Linked DNA regions of Cricetulus griseus. The protein of the gene in region 2 interacts with the protein of the main gene of each other region in a pairwise test. Links are inferred from orthologs where the notes say so. Each region holds a gene or a part of one and is shown on either strand. Other genes may lie near its edges.

Region 1 (12,204 bases), on a different chromosome or scaffold from region 2:
CTGTGTTGATTGGCCAACTGGTTGTTATGGCCCATAGGCCCTCCCAGGGTGGTTGCTATGCTCTGTGCATCATTGCTGTGTGCTTGTCTGTAAAACACACCCAGAGCTGTAAAGCATAGCACCACCAGCTAACTTCTGATTGGTTCCTTGTCATGAGACAGGCACCTAACCTCTAGTGACCAAGGCAAGGTAAGAAAAGCACATGTTATTGTCATGGCTGCCAAAAGGGCCAGGCATCTGACCTTAGTGACTAAGACAAGGTCAGACAAGCATGAGTTCGGATGTTATGGCTGCCGAAATGGGGAGCTGGTCCCTTCACTACCACACCTTGTATTTTGGGGACAGGTCTTTCACTGGCCTGGGACTTACCAGTTCAGTTAGACTGACCAGCAAACCCTGGAGTTTTGGTCCTCTTCATATCCTCCAACAAGGGAATTACAAGCGTTCACCACCAACCACATCTGGATGTTTTCACATGGGTCACAGGAATTGAACTCAAGTCCTCATACTAGCACGGTAAACAATCACCTGAGCTCTCTCCCCAGCTCTTGTTCTTACTGGGAACTATGGAGAAGTTAGGTTAAGTAGTAAAACAGGAGGTCTGAAGTAAGCTGTGAAATGCCCTGTTTGTGCCGCAGACATTCCTCAAGGGTCCCAACTCCTGCCGACGATCTTCTTCTGCAGCTGTGGACTTTCTTCTCTTTTGACCAGAAGAAACCCACCCAGGCTTCCTGAGGCATTCACAGACATTTCCCTGGAGATGTTGTATAATGCAGGGGGTTGGGGGCAGGAATTTGCCACAGAAATGAAGACAACCCAGGTAGGAGGTTCCTGAGAGAGATGTTGCCATGGACCCTGGGGGTACTGTATTTTTTGTGGGCATGCCAAGAGCGTGAATTCCTTTCCTGGATTTGATGGAGTGTGTTTTCAGTGCACCAGTCAGTGCCTGGGAAACACTGGCCCTGGTTCAGGAAAAGCTTGCTTCACTTTCCATAGAGGCAAAAGATTTTCAGTCTCCACATTCTGGCCCTGCATCACAGCATGCTGCATATGTAAGCACTACTGCAGCCTCCCCACACTCTGAGACTCTGGGTGTGGGGGATGGGGGGCAACCCAGAATGAAGTTCATGCAGGGGTGGGGTGTTGAGTGGTGGAGGCTGAGACTCTGACCCGGACATCTCATCATCTGCCAACATCTGTAAAACAAGAGATGCATCAGCTTGTAAGTTTGAAGATCCCAGATCCTGACAGAAAATGGGAAGCCCCCAGACTGGCCCCTTTCTCCTAAAGGGTGACTGGGAGAACAGACAGCTACCAGTTAGGGCAATTTGAAGAAGGCCCTTTAGCCAGGTGGCATTCAGAGCCACTGGGGACCATTCTGTTGTAACTCTGTAACCCTGGCTTCTCTGTGCTCTTCAAAGCATCACTTCCTACTTTCTGTTTTTCCGAGATAAGGTTTCTCTGTGTAACTCTGGCCTTCTTGGAGCTGACTCGGTAGACTAGGTTGGCCTGCTTTTGCCTCTCTAATACTGGGATTAAAGGCATGTGCCACTACCGCCTGGCAACAGCTTATGCTTAGTAAAAACAGAGTTTTTTTCTCTCTCTCTTTTTTCTCCTTTTTTTTCTTTAGAGACACAGTTTTTCTGTATATCTCTGACTATGCTGGAACTCACTATATAAACCAGGCTGTGGCCTCAAACTCAGAGATCTGCATGCCTCTTCGTCCTGAGTGTTAGGATTAAAGGTGTGGGCCACCAACAAAACAAAACAGAAAATCCAGAATTTTCTTAATGCTACTATACTCAAATGATTAATCTTGACTTTAAAGCCAGACAGACTATTTCTATAAAACTCAGTGAAATGTGTTACCTTCCTGAAATTATTTGTGATGTATGTTTGTTTGAGTGCATGTGTGATTGTGAGAGTTACAGGATCATGGAATTGTGAGTGGTGAAAGATCACCTGCTGAGGAAATATGTTTAGGCTTCCAGGCTGGCCTGGAACTTATTATGTAGCCCAGGCTGGCCTCAAACTTGGAGCCAACTTCTTGCCTATGGCTCCGTCTGTGGGATTACAGGCACACACTACCACAGCAACTTGGTTGCACTGCTTATCAAGGTTTTTCCAAATCATCTATTTGCATACAACATTGACATTTTGGCAATAATATATTAGGGATTGAAGTAATTAATGAATTTGGCTTTGTCCTAAGCAGGTACATCTGCAAATGAAGGGCTGATTATGTTATTTTTATATCTTATGTTGTGTTTCTTATACAAAGGTAAATAAAATAAAATCTGGTTAAAAAACATGTGAGGAAAAATCAGCATATTATTTTCTTTTTTTCCCATTAAGGTTCAAAGTTTAATGCTAAGTAGATCTTGAGATCTTTAATTCTTTGGAGAGCTCTCTAAAAAATGCAGTGGTAACCTCTATACTTGCCCTGAAAAATGGATGAAAATGACTGATAAATTAGCCAAACTTGAGAAAAGTACACATAACTAACTTAATTTACCAAATGACAATATGGCTCATGCTAAGTATAGTACTCTATTCCAAAATATGCTCTTAGACCTAGTTTTGAAATCAAATTTCAGTAAGCAGTGTACAGTCTTTAGTCACTGAATTCAAGACAGCGCTTGCTCTCCAGTGAGTTCAATAGCCTTGCAAGGGAAAAAGAATTAGAAAAAAGAAAACGTGAGTTCTTATCAAGAAACGAGATGAAGCAGGGTTTGAGAATTCATGAGTTTAAAGTATCAGGGAACACACCAGGCTCCATTTAAAGTACCAAATGTCTCCCTTTAGCATATTTCACTTTAAAACATCCAGCGTGGTTAGGATCCCTTTAATTACTGAAGGCACGTTTTTGTGTGCATCTCGAGAGTGTATCAGGCTGGCAGGTCAGGGTGACTTAAAAATCAAAAGAGTTAATTATTTTTGTGTATGAGTATTTTGCTTGTAGGTATGTATGGGCATCACCTGCATGAAATGTCCACAGAGGACAGAAGCGAGTGTTGGATCACCTGGAGGTGGAATTCCCAGGTAGTTGTAAACCTTCATATGAGTGCTGGCAACGGAACCAGGGTCCTCTGCAAGAGTGGACAGGCTCCTAACTGTTCAGCCAGCTCTTTAGCCCCTGATGACAATGAGCTTGGACCTTCTCTGCTTGATTCTGAATCATTTCTTCCTCATATAACACCTGACCATGCTAACAGCTTCAACTTGGGCTTCTTCTATTGTGAACTCAAGCTGTATGTTAAATGATATACTGCAAACATTTCAAATCTGTGAGCTTTCGTTTTCATTTTTCCAAAGAGCAAATATTTTAGTTTTTGTCAAGTGAATTTTTTATAGCTTTTTTTATGACTTTAAAAGTATTTGCCAATTCAAAGCTAGTGAAGATTTCTCTGTCTTCTAAAAATAGTCTAACCTTCCATTTTAGACAATGTCCATTTTGTATTAACACTTTGTATGTTGTGAGGTCAGAGTTAAGGCTTATCCCCTATCCATATCTATTGTTCAAACACTGCTATTGAAGACAAAGTTCCCTCAATGGAATTACTTTGGTACTACAGTGAGAAATCAGTTGGCCATATGGGTCAATATGTGGGCTTTTTCCCGATCCTGTCCTGTTTTATTTATCTGTGTGACCTCTTTATACCAGCACTATTATTGATCTCATTGATTCAGCTTAAAAGTGAGTGCTGAAGTGATGTTGGGTATGCATTCTGCTCCTTCACAAGTTTGTACTCTGTAACGTGATAAATAAAGGGCCCAGAGACTGATATTGGGTTCAAGCTTCAAGCTGAAGGTCAGAGAAGCAAAATAGTGGGCCATTAGCTCAGGCTGAAGGGGCTGATTCTGCTGCCTCTCCTCAGCATGGCTGGGGAATCCTGAGACTTCAATGTCTTCTATTCTCAATGTGGCTGGAGAATTATCCTCACTATGTCTGGAGAATGAATGCCTGTTACTGAGACCTTGCTCCTGTCTTATATATCTCTCTAATGCTGGGATTAAAGGTGTGTGATCTCAGGTGCTGAGATCATTTTTGCAGGAGCTGTTTCTCTTTAGGACTGGATCAACCTAGTGTAGATCTGGGTGGCCTTAATCTTAATCTTGAGTCCTAGGATTAAAGGTGTGTACCTCCATCTCCTAGCTTCTGGCTGCCGGGATTAAAGGTGTGTGCCTGGTTTCTATGGCTTGAGGCTGACTTTGCTTTCTGAATCCCCAGGCCAGCTTTAATAAATCATAAATAATGTATCACCACAGTGCTTCATGGACTTTCAGATAGATAAGTTGGAGAACGGTCTCTCTTACTGTGTTTCCTGGAAGAGTTTTACAGAACTGAGTTTTATTAAAATATTTGGAAAATTTTACTACAGATCCTCCTGGATCTTGTATGTCCTTTGTGGGAACAGTTTAAAATAGAGCTGGGCTCTGAATGTCATCTGTTACTGTGAGCTTTTGTGTTGTGTTTTCTCTCAAAGAACTGTCAGTTTCATCCAAGTTCTGCACCCTGATGCTAAGGCTGCCATAGCATCTTTGTAACCTTTAATGTCTACAGTATGGACAGTGAGGCCCTGGCTTTCATTGAATTTAAATTTTACCATTCTTTAAAATAACCACCTTTGCAACTCAGTGGTAGAGGAAATGCTTAGCTTATGTGAGGCGTGTACACACACACACACACACACACACACACACACACACACACACACACACACACACAGAGGCGGGTGGGGTGGGAGGGGACAGGGAGAGAAGAAAGTATATGCAAACTCGTCTCTAAGCTCAGGTTTTGTTAAAGTCAAAGCAAAGACGCTTTGCAGGTTGGGATATACTTGGTGGTCAATCAGTGCTAACTGCAAGATACTTTGTTTCAAAGGTTAGGTTAGAATGAGAAGACCACATGGCAACCCTGTATCGAGTACGTTGTATATTTGTCCCTGAATAAGAAACACGCTTTTAAGTCTCAGGTTTTCTGTGAGATGGAACGAGATCAGGCGATGCTGACCTAAGGCATCATGAGGTGATCAGGCTAACTGTGAGCTTAAAAATCGTCCAGGATTCGGGGATACGAAGAGAAACATCCATTAATGGTATATGCTTTATGCGTTTTCTGATTTTAGAAATTAAAAGAAAGAAAAGTGTGCTTTTAGATCGAGGGACGGCAGACTGCACTGTTGTGCTCACTCTGCTTCGAATGTGAACAAAGTGTGGCTGTATCAATCTCCAGAATATTCTATGACCTGGAACAACTTCCAAAAGCACTTTTCAGGTTCCGGGCGAGACAAAACCTGCTCAGCGAGGTTCGCCTTCTTTGGAGCGGCATCCCTTCTGCGTTGTGATTGGTCGCTGCTTTTCCAAGACACACCCAACAATCTTGATTGGGCGTCAATGCCCTTTTGTTAGGGCAAAGGTGGACCCCGGTGCTCCGCCAGGGGCGGGGTCGGGGCGGCCAGCAGCCAACGCGCAGGCGTGCGATCTCGCGGTGGGATTGGTGGGAGTCCGCCTCCTCGCTCGGCGCACGCTCCGTGGGCGGGGAGGGCGGAGCTGCTGCTGTCAGTTGGTCCGAGAGCTGCGGCCTGAGGCTTCTTACCCATCCCGCCCCCTCCCGGCGCCTCAGACGCAAGGTGAGGCGGCCCGGGGCGGCGTGGGCTGGGGTCGCGGGACCGCACTCGCAGCCTCGTTACCGCCGGGGCCCGGCAGGCGGGGCGGGGCGGGGCGGGGCGGCGGTATGGGCGCTGGATCGCGGGGCCCCGAGGCCCGACGCCCCGCCGAGCCCTACGCAGCCTCCTTCCTGGCCGCACGCAGCGGGATGCGTGGGAAGAGCCTGCCGGTGCCCGACTTGGACGCCTTGGGGCTGCGAGGGGACCCAGGTGGTGGGAGAGGATGCACTGCAGCCGCAGCTACCTTTCAGCTCGCGTCAATCCTCCGCCTCCGCCTCCTGAATCCTGGGATTGGGTTTCAGGCGTGGTGGTCCACGCCTGACTGGGGTGGGACATCTTTGCTTGGGCCTGGGTTTGTTTCTTTGTCAGCTGTTCTCAAGCATTCTGTGGAACAGATATTGGGGAATAAGGTTTGGGAAGGAGAAGATATACGTTCCCGAAAAGCCAAGATTTCTGTTATAAACTACCAGACTCTGACGTTTGTTTTTTTCAAGACAGGGTTTCTCTGTGTAGCTTTGGAGCCTGTCCTGGCACTCGCTCTGGAGACCAGGCTGGCCTCGAACTCACAGAGATCCGCCTGCCTCTGCCTCCCGAGTAACTGCCAGACTCTGACTGTGTAGTAGTTGGAAGGACAGATGTTCCCAAACCGTTATCTGTTTTTGAGGTCCAAACAAACTGTGCATGGGATCCTGGTGGCTGTATGCTTCAGTGATAAACTGGATGCAGCTAGCTCTCTGGAGGCCTAACTTAAATTTGAAATCCTTATTGACCGCGAGCATAGTCCCTCGATTTTCATGGAATTTGAGACCCAAAATATGTCAAAAGCAGAACATGGACAGAGAAACAAATCGAGTGGAGCAGCTTGAAGCAAATGACATTTATTCTTAGTTGCTTAGTTTTTGGAAATGCCAAAGAATTCGAATTTTCCAAAACGTTTGACAAGCTCATATTAGGATATTAGGACCGTAATTATGTCTTGGCTATGAAACAGGAGGCAATGCCCCTGACCTTTAGAAGGCTTAGTATCCACATCTGTGAATTGCAGTTTCCTTCTGTTTTGATGAAACTATATATGTGAAGTGTTTAGTTCATTAATTTAGTGCATTGTACTCTTTACTTTTTAAAAACACTGGCTCACTGGTAAGTAGACAACATATGAAAAACATGAATGCAAAAGCAGAATAGTCCTGTGTTTGGATGGATGTGTTAGGGAAATGTCAAACTTAATCCGAGCTGAGGTGAAATGGGGGGGGGGCACAGGGACAGACTGGGCACGTCTATGGACATGACTATAGCCTTGACTCTGGTGAAGTGGATTAGGCCACTCAGTTCTGGCCCTGTGTCTAATCACTGTGCTAAACATCTTAGAAGGTACAGTGTGAGCGTGTGGCAGTCGTTTAAATTAATCCTGGCCTAGTGCTTGCCATATCCCCTAAGCCTTACTCTCTCTACTCTTTCCACTCCTGGATTTAAAGTATAGAAGGTTACAGACTAATCACTAACAAGCTAGGTGCACAAGGCCTCTGATATTTCCTGTGATTTTCAAAGAAAAGTTTCAAAGAGAAGAGAATCTCAGAGCTAGGGCAGCTGGTAAGTCAGAAACTAACTGTGTAAGGTGTGTGTGTGTGTGTGTGTGTGTGTGTGTGTGTGTGTGTGTGTGTGTGAGCGCGCGCGCGCGCGCGCGCGCGCACATGCTGCATCCAGTGACCCCACAACTCACAGGCGTGGCAATGTGCATGTTACCCCAGTGCTTGGGAGGTGGCGTGGACCTCTGCAGCTTGCTCTAAAACTACTCTGATGGACTTGGTGAGTTCCAGGTTCAACCAGAGGCTTCGTCTTAAAAAAATAAGTGGAGAGGAACTGAGGGAGACACCCAGAATTGACTTGTGGCCTCCACATGTGCACAAAAATACACATGTGAACATGCACACAGACAGACACACAAACAAAACAGCTTTGTCATTTTAAAACTTGAACGTTGTTTACATGGAGAGGAATATGTTTTAAACCATTAGCATGTAGTAGAGTTTCCTTATATACATTCCTGTCATACATCTGTTCGGTTGATGAAAATTTTTATTTGTTTGTTTTTTTCAAGACAGGGTTTCTCTGTGTAGCTTTGGAGGCTGTCCTGGAACCCGCTTTGTAGACCAGGCTGGCCTCAGACTCACCGAGATCCACCTGCCTCTGCCTCCCGAGTGCTGGGATTAAAGGCCTGTGCCACTATTGCATGACAATGAGAAGAATTCTTAAAGTATGATCTTCAAATACTATAATAGCTAGAATAACTTTTAAAAAAGAATTTTGAAAAAAGAATCTAGTAATTCACTTTCTCTGAAGTGCAGATAGTCTCTGTAAACCGTGGTGGAAACCAGGCTCTCCGTGTGGTTCAGGAGCATGCTCAGTTTTCCAGTTCTGGAGTAGTGCTATGTAAGGATGCTTGGTAGCTTTCATACTGAGAGCTGCCAGAGAGTCCACTTTTCCATTTGTACTCTGGACATTCTGTCTCTGAAGGATTTTTTTTATGTGTTTACCTTTCCTCCCTTTTAATTGTCCTTAGTAAAAGGATTTACAGTGTTTCTGAGTCCTCTGCTTATCTCCCCATGCGCACTTCAAAGCAGCAAGGCCTGAGAAGGGTTCCTCTGGGTCACATCCTTTAACTACCTTGTCTTTTGAAAAACAAGCTTATATTTTACTGTTATGTCTGTTTCTTTTTCTTGTTGCAGACCATTCATCAAAGAGTGTGCATCCAAGAGCAGAAAGTCTGTTCCCCAAGATGATGAATGCTGACATGGATGGTAAGGTCTTTAATCTGTTTTCTGTGTGTTTCTGCCTTTCTGTATGCTTTTTCTTTATTAAGCAATGGAAAGAGCAGAGAAACAATCTTTAGAAGGTGTAGGTTAGCCAGGCAGTGGTGGCGCACGCCTTTAGTCCCACACTCAGGAGCCAGAAGCAGATGGATCTCTAAGTTCTAGGCCAGCCTGGTCTACATGGTGAGTTTCAGGACAGCCAGGGCTACACAGAGAAGGTTTAGGTTTGACTACTTTCCCATTTGCAGTAGAATTTATCCAAGGTGACTTCAATTCTGTAACTGTATGGCATGTTCAGCTTAATGCCCCATCTGCCCTCAGGTATAGGTTCTGTATACACAATTATTGAGACAATGGTTATAAAATGTTCTGAAGAATTTTAAGTGCTGCATGTCAAAACTGGCAGTGGTTATTAGTAAATTTAACACTTTTTATTACAGCAGTTGATGCTGAAAATCAGGTGGAACTGGAAGAAAAGACTCGACTTATTAATCAGGTGTTGGAACTTCAACACACACTTGAAGGTTAGAGTAAATTTTGTAGTTTTTGTAAATGACATCCAGTTAACTTCAAAGTCCATGTTAATAGTTGGTGGGTTTTTTGTTTGTTTTTGTTTTGTTTTGTTGTTATTTTGTAAAAAGAAAAAAAAGTTACTGTTATTTGTAAGTGTGGGCTGGTGTGCCTGCTGGGGCACTCTGTGAAGTCAGAGGCTGATGTGTGGGAATGTTCCCTCCTTCTATCACAGGGATCATGGATCTGAATTCAGGTAATCAGGTTTGGCTTGTGGGCATCCTTACCCAGTGAGCCATGTTGCTGGCCCCAGCCGTTTTCTCTTACTTTCTGGCTGGTTGTCTAAAGGACAAATATGCCTCAGATTAGTCACTGCTTTTGAGCGTCCTCTTTAAGGTGTTCACAGGATGCTGGCTTAGCATGAGAGCTCTTTACATCTGGTAGGGTGTTTTGGAGCCTGTTTTGGGAAAGCTCTATTAAAATGAAAAGAAGCATGACCTCCAGAGTTTCCAATTGATCATAGATTTATTTTCATTTTCTGACTTCCTTCCATACAATTACTACTACTGACTTGGCTTCTGATATTCAGTGTCATTAAATATTGTTTTTTGTTGAGGCACAAAATGTACAATAGCTTCTCATTTGACAGGTTATCTGGCTGTCCCCTTTGCTTTAACTCTCCTGCTTTAGATACATGTCTGTGTGGCTCATTTCCTCAGTTCCTTCAGGCCTCTAGTCTAATTACTCTTAGCAAAATAGTTAACTCTAAAAAAGCACTTCTCATCTGCTTTTATGACCATTAGTCATTTTACTTTTTCTCTAGAAGAAGTGTGACATACAGTGTATCAACATGCTTAATGTTTACTCCTGACACTTGGGTGCCTGTGTTACCGAATGCATATGCGCCCACATATAACCTTGTTCACTGTTGCCTCTAGAATGATGCCTGCTCCTGTTGATCATTAGACATTTTTAAATGTGTGAATGGAGATAATTTTTTACTTGTTCATGAGGACCTGCGTCTTTCGAATTTTTAACTGATGTTTAACCACTGCTTGGATCTCATATCCAGCATAGGAGTCCACTTGTGTTAAGCTACAGATCTTAAATATTTCCAGTAAAGACATTGTAGTTTCATATGGTAGGACAGGAACCCTTTATAAACAATGTTTTCTAACTACTGTAAGAGTTAACATAATGCTCTTTGCAGACTGAGCCCCATGGGAAACTCTGTCAACATTCACCATCTTTACTTAAGCCTTTACCCCCAGTAATCTGAACTGAAAAACAGAAAATTTCCAAATTTCGATTTTCCAAATTGTGTATTTATTGGTAGTGCTTGGGGTCAAATCCAGGTTTTCACACTTGTAGACAAGGGCTGTACCACTGGGCCATACCTCCAGCCTGGTCTCCACCTTTTGAATATTTTGAATGAATCTTGCATTTTATAATGTGGAATCATTGCCATGATTTTACTGATAATTGCATTTTTTTAAATATAGATCTTTCTGCAAGAGTAGATGCAGTTAAGGAAGAAAATCTGAAGCTAAAATCGGAAAATCAAGTTCTTGGACAATATATAGAAAACCTCATGTCTGCTTCTAGTGTTTTTCAAACAACTGATACAAAAAGCAAAAGGAAGTAAAGGGTTCATCTCCCTTTCTTCTGTGGAGTTGCTGCTTTTATTTTATTTTATTTTTTCTTAAAGCTTGGATATGATCCAAAAGTTACAGTATCCTTTGCTTCCTTGAGTATTTATAAAGAGAATGTCAGATCTAGGTAATATTAACTGCTTAACAGGAAACATCCCCGAGTTAATGTTATATGTATTACATTAGTTTATGAAAATGTGCAAATGTAGAGACTTTATAATTAGAATGACAGATATTTATGAAACTTGAAGATGAATGTTTTGCCAATTTGCTTATATATCTATAGGTTTAGCACTGTCTTTTATCATACGCCTAACTAGTGAACTATACAAGAGAATAACCATGTTGTGAAAAGTGACCAAAACCATGTACTGAATGCACAGCTTCTGTACCTTGTCCACCATCATGTGCCTCTCCTCCATCTGCCTCTTCCTCCCCATCTCCCTGACAGTAACTTCAGTAGTTGTCACCTACCAGAGTAACCTGAACTGTAATTGTTGACACATAACCAAAATAAGATACTTTCTTAGCCAAGGCTTGCCATTTGTAATATTTAGTAATAAGATAGGATCAGTGGTTTCTCTTTAATCAATTGAAGATAGATTGAAGCTATAAAAAATGAAGGGTTTTCTTTGAAATGTAAATTGTCACATTGAGAAGCTAAAAACTCCCGTTTACACAAAATAGCCCATTTGGTGTTGAAAAGAGTGCTGGTCACATGTATGTGAGAAATAGAAAATCTTGAGGAAAGATAGAAATAGGGAGGAAAACTGGATAACAAGTAACCAACTCCAAATGTTTTCCCTCCAGATGTGTGTTACCTCTGGCCCACAGCTGCACTTTTGGGACAGTATGAAATCAGACTAAGTCTGATGTAAGCAGGTTAATTAAGTCACATGTCAGAGGGACCAGTTAATAGTTTGGTCTCAAGATTTGTACCCAGGAGATAAACTTTTGCAAAATTAATTGAGAGTATATTAGTATAGGAATCATGAATATAAGAGAGTTTTGTATATGTGATACTTGTTAACCTTAGTATTTTATCTCTGTTGTTTTTCCCAGAATTTCTGTAAACACAACTACTTTGTTTGCAGAATTTTAGCCATTTCTTTTAACAATTTTAAAATTGTTTGGTTTGTAGCTTCCATTTGATAAAAGAATTGATACCCAAAATAATATTAAGATGTTACAGCATGAAAGATCCACTAATGCAGCTGATGGCTCTTAGGTTGGGCTGTGTTGACTTGTGGGATCATCTAATGTATTAGTGACATTAGCTACATGGACGCGTAATCCTCACATTGCAGATATTTTGCAAACCCTTTTGTGACTGCGTTACAAATATTAAATTGTGTTCTGCTTTGCTGTTTAATAAAAAGCTGTTTCAGAGATTGTGTGTCTTTTGATACAGTTGCTAAGTAAATGTTCAGTTTGGGTATCCAGTGTTTGCAGTGTCACAGTGTATTGTGTATTTTATTTATGTATCCAAGACTGCTACAGTAGGAACCTTTTATTAACACAGTGTTGCAGGAGCTTACCCATCTGGTTAGAATCCAGGGAAGG
Region 2 (12,696 bases):
ACAGGACTCTCACACTGCAAACCCACCTGCCCTATCATCCTTCCTTATAGCTTGAACATCAGAATTTTGTTGTGCTTTTCTTTCCTGGCTTATAAATAAAGTTTTAATTTTAAAATCACTGTTAAGGAATACATTATCATATTTGTCCTCGTTCTACTGTGAAAGATATCATGATACACTAGCAGATAGTACCTCTTGTACCAGGCTTGGCGGTGCACACTGATCCAGGCCTGGGGAAATAGAGACAGAAGGACCAGCAGGTCAAGTTCATCCTCAGCTAGGTAGCAAGTTCAGGGCCAATCTGGGCTACTCAAACCCAGTTGAGAGGTGAGAATGGAGAAGAGGAGGAGGAAGAGAACATCTGATTCTGCACAGAAGAAATGGGAAGATTCATGACACACTCCACGCCAAAATGACAGAGAAGCATTCCATCACCCAAATACACTAAGAAAGTGCACCCATTCAGACCAGGTTCCAAACACACCAGGAATGCCATCAAACCTCACTACTAAATTTCCATGACAACAGAAATAATAATCCCAGATCATCTTTCTAGAGAGGGAACCGGGCCAACCCCCACAGAGATGAGGTACTAAAAGTGCTTAGGCCTTTGAAAGCTACCCATGACTGACAAGGGACTCCTTAGTTACCCTCCCACCAAGCAAGCATTCCCCTCACTCCTCCCATGCCCGGCTTAGACACAGAACTGATCCTACTGTTTCCCTACGTTAAACTGCACACACAGCAGATGGAAAAAATATGCCCATGTAAGAATGTGGAATATGCCAAGCTTCGAGAAAGGGCCCAACAAATGCAAAAAATGTGGCCATGACTGTCAATGAAAGAAAGCAAAATCTAACTGTTGTTTTCCTGAATACTGCTAACACAAAAAAGCAAATTATTTTCTTATTATTGAGAATAAAAAATTGCCCATATAGATCCCATTTTATAATAAGGATAATCTAAAGAGTACTTCTAAAAGCTAAATTTTACTCAGTCACGGAAAGAATACAGCACCAAAATGGCAAAGATAAATAATACTAGTTTCCCAGGTTAAAATTTTTCTTAATTATATACCACCTAAAAGAGTAACATGATTGCTTTGATATAATTCTTGCACATTTGTTTTTCAGGGACACCAGGCATACTATAATCTTTCTGTGGAGTGGAGTTCTAATTCAATTCTATTCAACAAAAGAATAGCCATAGCATGATACATGATTGACTGATTGATTACCACTTGTCTATTTTAATATACTGAGTCTTTCCAGGTAAAGCCTTTTACATTCAGTCCTAGTATTAAACGGCAAGTCTTTACTAGACACGAGCATGGCCACAGCATTACTCTGGCATTGAAAACAGCATCCGAAGGACAACAAAAGGAGTGGAGTTACAGAGTAAAAACAACCGAAGATTTATATTTTATTCAATGAAGCTGGATCAGAGTGCTTGATTCATGGTGCTAATGTGCTTCTTTTCCAAACTATGAAATGAACTGTTTTATGCGACTCTTTTAGCATGTCAATAAGAAAATATACCCATGGGTCCCTTCAATCCACACAAAAAGAGAAAAGGAATTAAAACAAGGCAAAATTTCCATCGTGGTTTCTGACTTCACAGTCTCAGTGATAAGGTTATTTGCTCGTTTACTTACTCCACAAACAGGCTACACAGCCCTCACTAAGTGTCAGGCATAGAGACAGTTACTAGAAAGTCACCATCTAATGACAGGCTCAGAAACATGCTTAGTAAAACAGCACAGTGATGATTTGAAAGACACATGGACGCTGCGCTGTGGGGACTAGCGCCCATGAGATAATAGCGCTAAACTCCATGGGACAGGAAACAAACCCTATAAACATGTGCATGTCTCCACAGGGCTCTCCAGATTCCACACAGGAGTGTGTTTTCTTCCGTGCAAGGATTTAGGCCATGGCAAAGTAACCATCTGTCAGTGATGCTGTAGGTGGGGTTTCTCCCCATCTGAGACACTGGATTAAGTGTCCTTTAAAGATCCTTCCAACTCTAAAATTGTATAATTCCATGAGCTCAGCAAAGGCTAAAACAGTAATAGGACGTTTAGGGGGTGAGGTTGGGGGAGGGGGGACTTGGACAAAGCCCCAAATGACAGCTAGGCCCTAAATAAACAAAAGATAGAATGAAAGCTATCTAGCTACTGTCCTGTTTAGTACATGTATGTCAGGTCAGCCTGCAAAGCTTAAAGAGGTTAATGACAGGGAGAAGCAGTGAGGCTACGAGAACTCTGGCAGACAGAGCCAGAATTCCATATTCCACTAGAAATTGAAAGCAACAGGCTTTTCCACGTCAAATATTTAAGAAAAATCATTTCATGAAACATTAACAATGCTATTTAACATACTGACAGCCCCACAGCACAATCACACTTAATGAAATAGAGTGTGCCAGGGGATCTGACATAAGCTTACATTGTTCTCTGCTGAAGAACTGAAAACAGGGTGAATGTGAGATTTAAATAATTTGGCTATGGGGCTCATCATCTTTAAACAAATGTAACTCTGTGAGTGTCTACTTCAAACCATTCCCTTTTCTGGCCCCTAGCCATGGCATCACTGTGCTCACATTGTTACATAAGATATCTTCATGTGGCAGTCAAAAATCAACAATGGGAAGGCATCTGGGTGCTAAAGTGGGGAGACACAAGCATGAGGACCTAAATTCAGATCCACAACCCCCACATGAAAGCCAGGCACGGTGGTGTGTAACCTGTCATCCTAGAGCCAGGAAGAGAGATGGGAGGATACCTGGGGCTCGATGGTTGAATCTGAATTAGTGAGCTCCAGATTCAATAAGAGACCTTATTTCAAAAAATAAGGCAGAAAATAACTGAAATGAATACCCGATGCCACCAGATAAAGGTACAAAATGTACATATGCATGCATGTGCACACGCTCCAACACACCTGAGTGTATGGATACATATATGCACACAAAAACTCAAGAACAGAAATGGCTTTTAATGGTTCCCCAGTACTCACAGGAATGTGTGTCATGCCTAGCATCACTAAATTACATAACTGCTGATATTCCAGTACCCCAAATATATTAAATAAATAAAAGGGTAGGAATCTGACTGATCTCGCCATATCACAGTTTGGTTGTATAAACAGAAGGAGATGGAGATCGTTGGTGAGAGAATTTAACGGCCATGCAAAAATAAACACATGAGGAACAGCAGGACTGCACCAGCAAAGAGACAGCAGTGAAAACAAGATAGCAAGAATGGGCCGGCCAGCCAGTAGCTTGAAAATAAGACGCTGTCCGTCCGTTCCACAAACTTGTCCCACTATCAGCACTGGCTCTGCAGCCGCTCTGGTCCAGCTCCTCACTTACCCCTTTCTCTGAGAGGTTCAGAGTGAGCAAATGCAAAGCCCTCGTATGGGACGACTTCCAGTCTACAGGCATGACATTCCCATAATTATCTGTCAGGGCATTCCAAATCCTTAAACAGAAGAAAACAGCAATCAGTGAAATGGAACACTCCTCATGGCTTTTTTTTTTAAAATCCAGTACTACTGTTAAGGGACCCAGAATAAGAGTCGGTAGGGGGCGAGGGAGGATGGAAGGGAGAGGGAACTGGGACTGACATGTAAAACAATCTTGTTTCTAATTTAAATAATAAAAAAACATGTGCAGATGGTAGAAGGGAAACTTTGAAAAAATTTAAAAAAATAAAAGGTGCATTGTTTCTTAGAAAAACATCGACAAAGCTAGAGTCATGAAAAATCACATAATCAGATGGACTACGCACAGGATACTGTTCAGTTTATAGGACACATACACAGAAGGATGACAGCACATAAACACACACACACAACGAGCGATTAAATGTAAAAAAAAAAGTGTAGATAAACGAGATATAGACTCAACACATACACACGAAAGTATACGAATTCATTTCATCCTCAAAAACATTAGAAGCAGAAACCTTTATTATCTTCATTTTCCAAGTGAAGAGCCAGGAAACACAGAAAACTGCAGTATTATCTTCAGAAACACAAAGTAAACATGCTGTGCTTTCCAAAGACATGCTGTATTTTCTAGAACAAGGATTCAGTCTCAGTGTGAGAGCAGGGATTCATATCTATTTGTAACGTAACAGGATAAGGACTGGGGCTGATGAAAGTTGAAAGAGTGAGAGGTCACATAAATTCAGGCAAGTTATACAGTCAATGCAATTACCACTTTCTTATCAAACAGCATCTGAGGTAGGGAGATGGGGTAAAACAAAGAGGCACTGAACTCAGACTCAGGAAACAGATTCATATATTCATTTTCCCTTGGCCAATCTTTGGCCAAGTTCCTTAAACTGCCTGGGTATCAGCTGCCCAGCCACAAAAAGAAGCTTGGACATGAAGTAGGCACCTTTTCTAGTTCCAATGAACAAAGAGGGTAGACTTCAGGATCAAAAGCCAGGGTTTGGTACAAAAATAATAATCACCATAGTAAAACATGATGCTTTATTGGGGGGAAGGAGCCTAAATTCATAAGCATCAATAAGATGAAATTTAAGTAGGGTAAGTGAGGTTAAACACTACACATCTGAGCTACTTCCTAGGAGACTACACTAACATGTCACCTTTGTTATGTTAAAATTTGTAAAAGGTATCTAATTGTAAATAATAATAAATCATGAAATAGTTAGATAAGCCTTTTTTTTCAAGTTGGTCAGCAATCAGGATAAAATCCTAGCAAGGGCAAAAACATAACAAGGTAAGTTTAAAATTGCCAAAGTGAGCTGGAGAGATAGCTCATCGGTTAAGAGCACTGACTGCTCTTCCAGAGGTTCTGAGTTCAATCCCCAGCAACCACATGGTGGCTCACAACCATCTATAATGGAATCTGATGCCTCTTCTGGCCTGCAGGTGAAAATGCAGATAGGGCACCATATGCAAAAAAAAAAAAAAAATTAATTTAAATAAAATAAAAATAAAACACAACTGCAGCAAAGAAATAACACTTCTTTTAGCCAGGTGGTGGTGCTCTCTGTGAGTTCAAGGCCAGGCTGGTCTACAGAGTGAGTTCCAGGACAGCTAGAGTTGTTACACAGAAAAATCCTGTCTCAGAAAGAAAGAAAGTAGAAAAAAAAAAAAAAAAAAAAACTTGATTTAATAAACAAGGATTCTATGCTTAAGAATAGAAGTTTCCAGACGTATAACATCCCAAGGGGTGTGTGGCTTCCAAACCACAAGAAAAACATGAACCCAAAAAGCTCTACAAAGTGGGGTCTATCACCCTACAAATATCCCCTATGTAAGGCTCCCTCAGACTGCATCATAGCTGGAACCTGATGTTCTCTAGTGTCAATGAACCAGAACTGGGAACAAGGGCAGCTACTGGCTGATGGTAATGGGAGTTACTTACTATCCTGGGTCACAACTTTCAAACCCTAACAGCTGATTATATCCCTAACCCTGGCCAAGGACACAGACTATTCTAAAAGGTGAGGAGTCCCGGGTTTGGAAGAGTTGTTTTGTCTGTTGGTCACACCCTTCTTACAAAAAGCTGTAAGACAAAGATAGTGGAGTACCTCTCCTACTAGGAGCAGCTGTGGGTTCCAGCTTCCAAGAAAACAGCACAATAAACAAGGCATTCTCTCTCCCAAGGTCAGAACAATTGCAGCTAGAAGGATATAAGGCCAACTTCCCCTAAGGTTTCCCGAACTCGCCAGTCAAGACATCTGAGCTGCCTTGTCTTTATCATAAACACTGTGACCTGTCATAAATAGCTGGTGGAAGCGCTCCCTCCCAGCCAAAGTCCTGTGTACAGTGGCTCCAAGGGACAATGTCCTGAAGCTCTCAGCAGATGAGTAAATCCATAATGACAGAAACTGAAAGCAAAGCTCAAGGAAGTTAAGTAAAAATCCAGTCATGGTGGGAAGCGGACAAAGGGATTTTCTGACTGTTGAAGGAAGCTGGAATGGACCCTATAAAGCAAAAGTATACCAGAGAAAGGAGACAAAAAGGAGTGAGCCCTGGCTCTTAAAAGGTTTGCTATGCATCCCCAATCAGGAGACATGCACTCTCACCAACACAGCTCCTATCAGGAGCAACCAGGCTAAATTTATAGCACAAATGCTAAATGCTTGCCCGGCATGTATGAGCCCTGGAATCCAACCCCAGCAACACAGAAAACTGGGTGTGTTGGTGCATACCTGTAATCTCTGCACTCAAGAGGTGGAGGCAGAAAGATCAGGAGTTCAAGGTCAACCTCATCTCCAAAATGAGTTTGAAGCTAGCCTGAGCTACATGAGACTCTATCTCCAAATTGAGGGAAATGGGTAACAAAAGGCTTAGTTTACTGGTTTATTCCAGGAATTCCAGCATTTGGAGGGCAGCAGGAAGGTCAGGAGGCCAAGGTCAGCCCTAGCTTCATAGCAAGTTCAAGGCCAGCCTGGACTACAAGAAGCAAAACAGGAAAAGCAACAAAATAGTTTAGATTTTACAGCCACCTAAGTTTGAAGGACAGGCTAAAATAAACTTTGCAGAATGTCCAGCTGAAGCAAAAATAGGTACTCTAAGAATCTCAGTACCAAGCCACACTCATCTGCTTTAAGTTACTCATGAGGCTGGGCGTTGGTGGCTCATGCCTTTAATCCCAGCCCTCGGGAGGTAGAGGCAGGCGGATCTCTGTGAGTTCAAGGCCGGCCTGGTCTCCAGAGCCAGTGCCAAGATAGGCTCCAAAGCTACACAGAGAAACGCTGTCTTGAAAAACCAAAAAAAAAAAAAAAAAAAAAAAAAAAGTTACTCATGAATATAACCTTAAAACCCAGAATATTCAGTAAGTCTCAATAATTAAAGTGTATAAATCCACAAATAGATGAAGCTATTATCTTCTCTGGGAAATTCCACACAACTCACCTTTAGTTACGAACTGCATGCTCATCTCTTTGTTTTAAACCCATCATAAACTTAGCCCTCCTCTGCCCTTGGGCAACAAGAATGATAAAAAGGAACGGTGTTGGAATGAAGCTCTTCAACCATGTTTACATATGCCCTCTCTGTGTGTATGTTTGCTCTTTCTTGACAAATATCCTAATTTTTGAGGAATTAAAACTTTTTTTCATGAATCCTATCATCATTCAAGAATTCCTCACATGGCTTGGTCCCTAAAGGTGGCTGCCACCGAGAAAAACAAGGGGGTGGGGGGGGAGACCATCCACAAGTGGCCGTTTGACTTCCAAGTATGTGCCACAGCAGTTGACAGGCTTGCTACACCCACCCTCACTCACACAAGGACTCACAAAATTAATAAAATGTAATAAAAGTGTTTGTATTTAATTTTCCTCCCACTAATCTCTAGTCCCTCCACATCTTCAATGCCTGGAAACGGTCCCAGCCATCACCTTCTCAGAGTCCTTAGTGTCCATATGGCTTCTAAAGGGCCTCGTCTCTCTACAAACAAAACACTCCAGCTTGCTGGCTCTCACCACTCTTTCTTTCAGCTATCTGACAGGGGAAAAACTACGGTACATAATTGCAACTCTCACTTAACCAAACGATAATTGGGGTTCAAGGTGTTTAAATAAAGTGCTCTCATCAACCCCTGTGAATGTCCTCACTGAAACTAATCATATACAAGATTCTGTAGCCATTGCAGGCCGTGCACTAGTCTTCTCGATTACACTATCGGGTCCTTGTCATTAGTAACTGCCGCCCTTCACTTTTTGCCTCTGTGGCAGTTTGCTCTTATGGTCCCAACAGACTTGTGTGACTTCAATGGTACCTCACTCCCCTGCACCTTGGCACCTAACTCCACCAGAATTCAATTTGCGGGTTCTCTATAAAGTCTTCATTCGGACATCCCCTTTGAAATAAATCATCCATATCCGGTACAAACATCCATCAAAGCACTCATCACACTCATAAAACATGTGTTTAACAAATCCATGTCCCATCCCACTCGGTGTCCTCTTTGAAAGGAGCAATGCACACTTTGGCAATGGCAGTGCCAAGCCCTTGGCAGGGGTTTTAACAGAAGTGAGTTGAATGAATGAATGAATGAATGAATGAATGAATGACCCACACATGCCCCAGGAGGCAGGATCTCCCACAAGTAAACACACAGGGAGCTGCAGGGGGTGATCCAGGGAAGGCAGGGGCAGCGGGCTTTTAAACTCCAGCTGACCAGGCCGGCAGCTCGGAGCGGGGCGGGACGGGACGGGGCGGGCGGGGGGCGGGGCTGGGAGAGTCCCCGGAGGAAGGAGGGCGGGGGGCGGGGCCTGCTCGGACTCCCGGGGCCACGGGGACAGGGCGAGGTAGGGACGGCTCCCGCCCGCTCCGGGGCCCGCACTCACTCGTCCCCTTGCAGGAGGCTGTGCTCCGTGATGGGCCGCACGGTCGCCCGCGGGGACTCGGCGTCCTTCGAGGGGCGGAAGCACAGGCTCAGCTTCTCCTCCAGGCTGCAGGCCAAGGCCGGGAAGCTGTCGCCGCCCGCGGGTGCCCCAGCTCCGGCCTCGGGGCTCGCGTTACAGTTCTCCTGGTCCTGGACGCTCCGGGCCGGCTCCTGGAACTCATAGAAATCCTGCCAGTCCCCATCCGCCGCCATCGCGCCCGCTACCGGCCCGCACCCCGCCCCGGCCGGACGGCCACGCCCTCTGGCGCCGCCCACTCGAGGCCACGCCCCTTACCCGCCTGTTCTGGGGTGAGTGAGTCCAGAATCTTCATTTCCTGAGTCTTTTGGAGCTGAGCACCAGTTCCCAGGGGAAGGAAGAGCTTAACTGAGTTGAGTCACTTCCTATGTTCTTGATCATTTAGAAATAACGTCCCTCAGCGTCCCTGGCTAAAAGTGGCTAAAAGGAAGATTGTTTTAAACCTAGTGTCAGATTTTTTTTTGCTCCAAGGGAACTCTCATAACATTCCATCCAGAATGACAAGAGGTACTGGCAAATATTTAAGTGGTAACCGAAATTCATTCCACAAATATATCTCACCCACGTGCAAAGCATATACTAGCTTCAGCTAGTATATGATTGTGTAATTCATGATTGTGTAAGTGAGTAGTATTCTCGAAGAATTTGGAAAATGCCTGAAGAGTAAATACCCATCTGCTTGCTCTCCAAGGGCATTCCCTTATTACTGTAGCTGGAGTGTTAAGGCTAAGTGAATTTTAAATCTTGTAAAAGTGTGACTGAGGTATGGGAAGTTTTTGTTTCATGGATATAGCATCTCTGTTTTGCAAGTTGAAAAGATTTATGGACATAGAGAGTTGCGATGGTTGTATGCAGTATGGATATACTGTGCCCTGAAGATGACTAGAATTGCAGTTTTATGTGCATTCAACTACAGTAAAATTTAGGGAAAGTAGGTAGAAGCATTAAATGACTAGGAATTGACAAAACCCGTATCTCTTAAAATGTGTCATTCAGGGGGTGAAACATCAGTAAATAATATATTATAAAACGTTTTATATACCCACATACTCAAAATTCTATAAAATTTTATTGGGCATCTCTATTTACCATCGGACTTGTTTTTATGTGTGATTAAATAAAACAATGAATACAAAATGTCTAATAAATTTCCTAGCATATAGTATTTTCCCCCTTGGTCAAAAGGAGGTATGCAGTAGCATCTTGCCTTGCCAGTGAACTTGGTGGTAGTGGCCACACCCTTTGGGCATGGTTTTCAGGTGCAGATGTGACCCTTTCATTATAAGGTAGAGGAGGGGCTGGCTAGCACTCTTTTGGGTTGCAGAGAGATCTAAAGGGCAGAGACTGCATCTTCTAGAGCAGGGAGACCTCATAGGTTATTTACTCTTATCTGTGTAAATGCTTACCTAATAAATACCTATTTGTCATTTATGTTGAGTCTGGTGAACTCATTTAAACCCCGCCTTCAGAGGTGGAGAATGGTTGACGTGTAAGAAGACATCCAGTAGGAGACCCATTTCTGCCCAAGCTGTGGCACTATTCATGTCCACCCACCCCTTCTTCAGAGTCCTTCCACTCAGCCTATCTTAGAAACTATCCAGTCTCAAGTTCCTGTTCCCTGCACTCCTCCACTTAGTATTTCCTCTCAACAGTCTCACTCTCCTTCCTGACAACACTCCTACCCCTCAACCAAATTTGAGCTTCCTTCACTGCCACCCATCTGAACAAAGGAGCCCCAGCCTCAGGTGTAGACAGCCCACCAGAACCCAGAGGCCTCTGAGGAAAAAGCAGGCCTCCTTTAACCATGTCGTACAGCCCAAGTCTACCAACTGACTCACTCAAACTTATTTATTTTATACCTACTATCTCCTACCAGCTCCTAGAGGCCCTATGAAAATGAACATTTGATAGATTAAGAAAAGTCAGGTGGTGGTGGCACATGCCTTTAATCCCAGCACTCGGGAGAAAGAGGCAGGTAGATCTCTGTGAGTTCTAGGCCAGCCTGGTCTACAGAGCTAGTTCCAGAACAGCTATGGTTATTACACAAAGAAACCCTGTCTCGAAAAACAAAAACCAAGCAAGCAAACAAAAAAGTTAGCTTGTATATGTACCAATAATAATGAAAGAAAAATAGGCCATAAATTTGAGGGCGGGACAACCGAGAGGGGAAAGCTGTAAGGTTCTAAATTAAAACTAAATTTAAAAAGAAAAAAGTTATCTGAGAAAAATAACTTATAGCACTTGGTTCAAAATTAGGGAAGACAGAAAAACAGCTTCATGGTACTTGAGTGATATGTTCACATAAAGACTGAGTGGAAACATCTCAGATTTACAGTGCATTGAAATTTATGCATATCACATGTCCTGGTGAAAACTTACAAACATTGGACAAGTATATTACTTAGCATGTAAATCACCTAAACATACAATTAATCTGAAAACATAAAACAAAAGAGAAAGGAAATATGGGTTTTCACAGAGACTGGGAAACCCAGGAGCCTTCATGGGTCTGCGACAGGATCTTGCTTACATACTGTGATTGTTTAGCAAAGAGGTGGGGGTGTGGGGGGTTTGTGGGACCCCTAACAATGGGAGTGGGGGTGTCTCTCTGACTCTTTTGCCTGCTCTTGAGACCCTTTCCTCCAACATAGCGGCCTCATTCAGCCTTGATATGAGGGTCTATCCTCGTCTTGCTACTTCTTATTCAGCTGTCATGAGTTTACATCACTGGGTGGGCTGCTCTTTTTATGAAGGGAAATGAAGGAACAGTGGGCATGATGAAGAAGGAAGGTGGGGGGAAACTGGGAGGAATGGAGAAGGGGAAATTGCAGTTAGGATTATTGTATGAATGAAGACTAAATAAAAAGAAATTTGGAAATATATGTATACATATACCTGTGTATATATATACCAAAAATGTCTAGTCAACAAAGTACCATGCTGAGCAGATGCTAAAGGCTCATAAAGAAACAGAGAAGAAGGTCTATAAATGACATTTTCTAGAGAAAAACTCAAAATGGCTAAGTTTACTTAGTAATTACAAAAAGAGAAAACAGATAAAGACAGACAGACCAACAAGTAGACAGAGAAGAAAATAAAAATAGAAAGAACAGAAATCTATATTGACCCATGAATTTAAGGAAAAATTGTTTACTTGTCAAAATTGAAAAATGGCTTCTTTCAATTCGTTTCCCTGTTTAAAATCTTTTGAGCAGTCCAAGACCACACACAAAGAAGCCATATTTTTTAAGAAGTTGGAAATGTTAATTTACCCTGATTTGATTATCACCAAATGTAAGCATTTATCAAGTTACTACATTTTACTCCACAAATATGTATGTATTATATGTCAATTAAAACTAAGACCACACACAATCTAGCATGTGTTAATAAAGAGCATTCGTTACATAAATTAACTTTACTGCAAAGTAATAAACCATTAATAAAATAGAGTATTGGCATTGGTGAGCTTGAGTTTTCAGAACACTGGAAGCTATAACTCCAGTGTTAGAGTTATAGAGAAGAAATTCAATGGAGCTGGGACATCTCTTTGGCCCATTCAAGAAAGAAAGAAAAGACTCCCACTGTCAAGAAACCAAAGAAGCCCACTCCCTATTCATTTGGGGGTGGGGTAGGAAATAATTTTCTTCTAAATTGCACTAAGTACAATGACAAATTAATACTAAGTGGCATCTGGGTAGAAGGGGAGGTCTGGAGACAAGTGGCATCAAAGTAGACACCAGTGGGTCTCTAAGAGAAACTGATAATTCAGAGGAGTCTAAAGCAGAAGAGAAGCCAAGCGGCTGGGACTAAAGCTCCATGAGGTCCAGGGAATGCAGCTCTTCATTGGAGGACTACAATTGGAATTTTCTTTGTGCTGCCAACCAGCTTCCCAAATAAAGACACAGAGACTTATTATTAATTATGAAGGTTTGGCTTTCATTCTGTATATCCTACTTTCCTGCTTCCTTGTCTGGCTGGCTGGTCCCCAGCATCTCCTTTTCTTTCTTCCCTGAGCCTAAACGCCTCCTCCTGTGTACTATCCCTGCCTAGAAATTCAGCCTCTGTCTCCGCCCTCACTGTTGGCCGTTCAATACTGCCACACCAAAATAGACTCTTCAAATGGTCTGAACCTAAACGGACATACTATTGAAGCCAGACAGCAATTGGATCCACAAAAGCAAAACAAAGTGGACTGTTAAGATAATTGTTTGTGTAATTTAAGCAAACAAGTAATTACTCAATTTTCTGCTCAATTTGACTAGGATAGACACAGAAGTCACTAA

What was found.
Region 1: the proteins of Fez2 (region 2) and Scoc interact in binary tests that used the Homo sapiens proteins (3 or more experiments, as listed by UniProt). The link is inferred for Cricetulus griseus from reciprocal best matches to the Homo sapiens genes FEZ2 and SCOC.

What each region holds. Positions count from the first base shown.
Region 1 is NC_048596.1:159,069,565-159,081,768, reverse strand, and holds the end of Scoc (short coiled-coil protein), read left to right. Parts: intron 1-5,441; coding exon 5,442-5,633; intron 5,634-8,395; coding exon 8,396-8,467; intron 8,468-8,919; coding exon 8,920-9,003; intron 9,004-10,491; coding exon 10,492-10,634; 3' UTR 10,635-12,032; downstream 12,033-12,204. UniProt on the Homo sapiens protein: Positive regulator of amino acid starvation-induced autophagy.
Region 2 is NC_048600.1:5,605,204-5,617,899, reverse strand, and holds the start of Fez2 (fasciculation and elongation protein zeta-2), read right to left. Parts: upstream 8,634-12,696; 5' UTR 8,587-8,633; coding exon 8,336-8,586; intron 3,482-8,335; coding exon 3,373-3,481; intron 1-3,372. UniProt on the Homo sapiens protein: Involved in axonal outgrowth and fasciculation.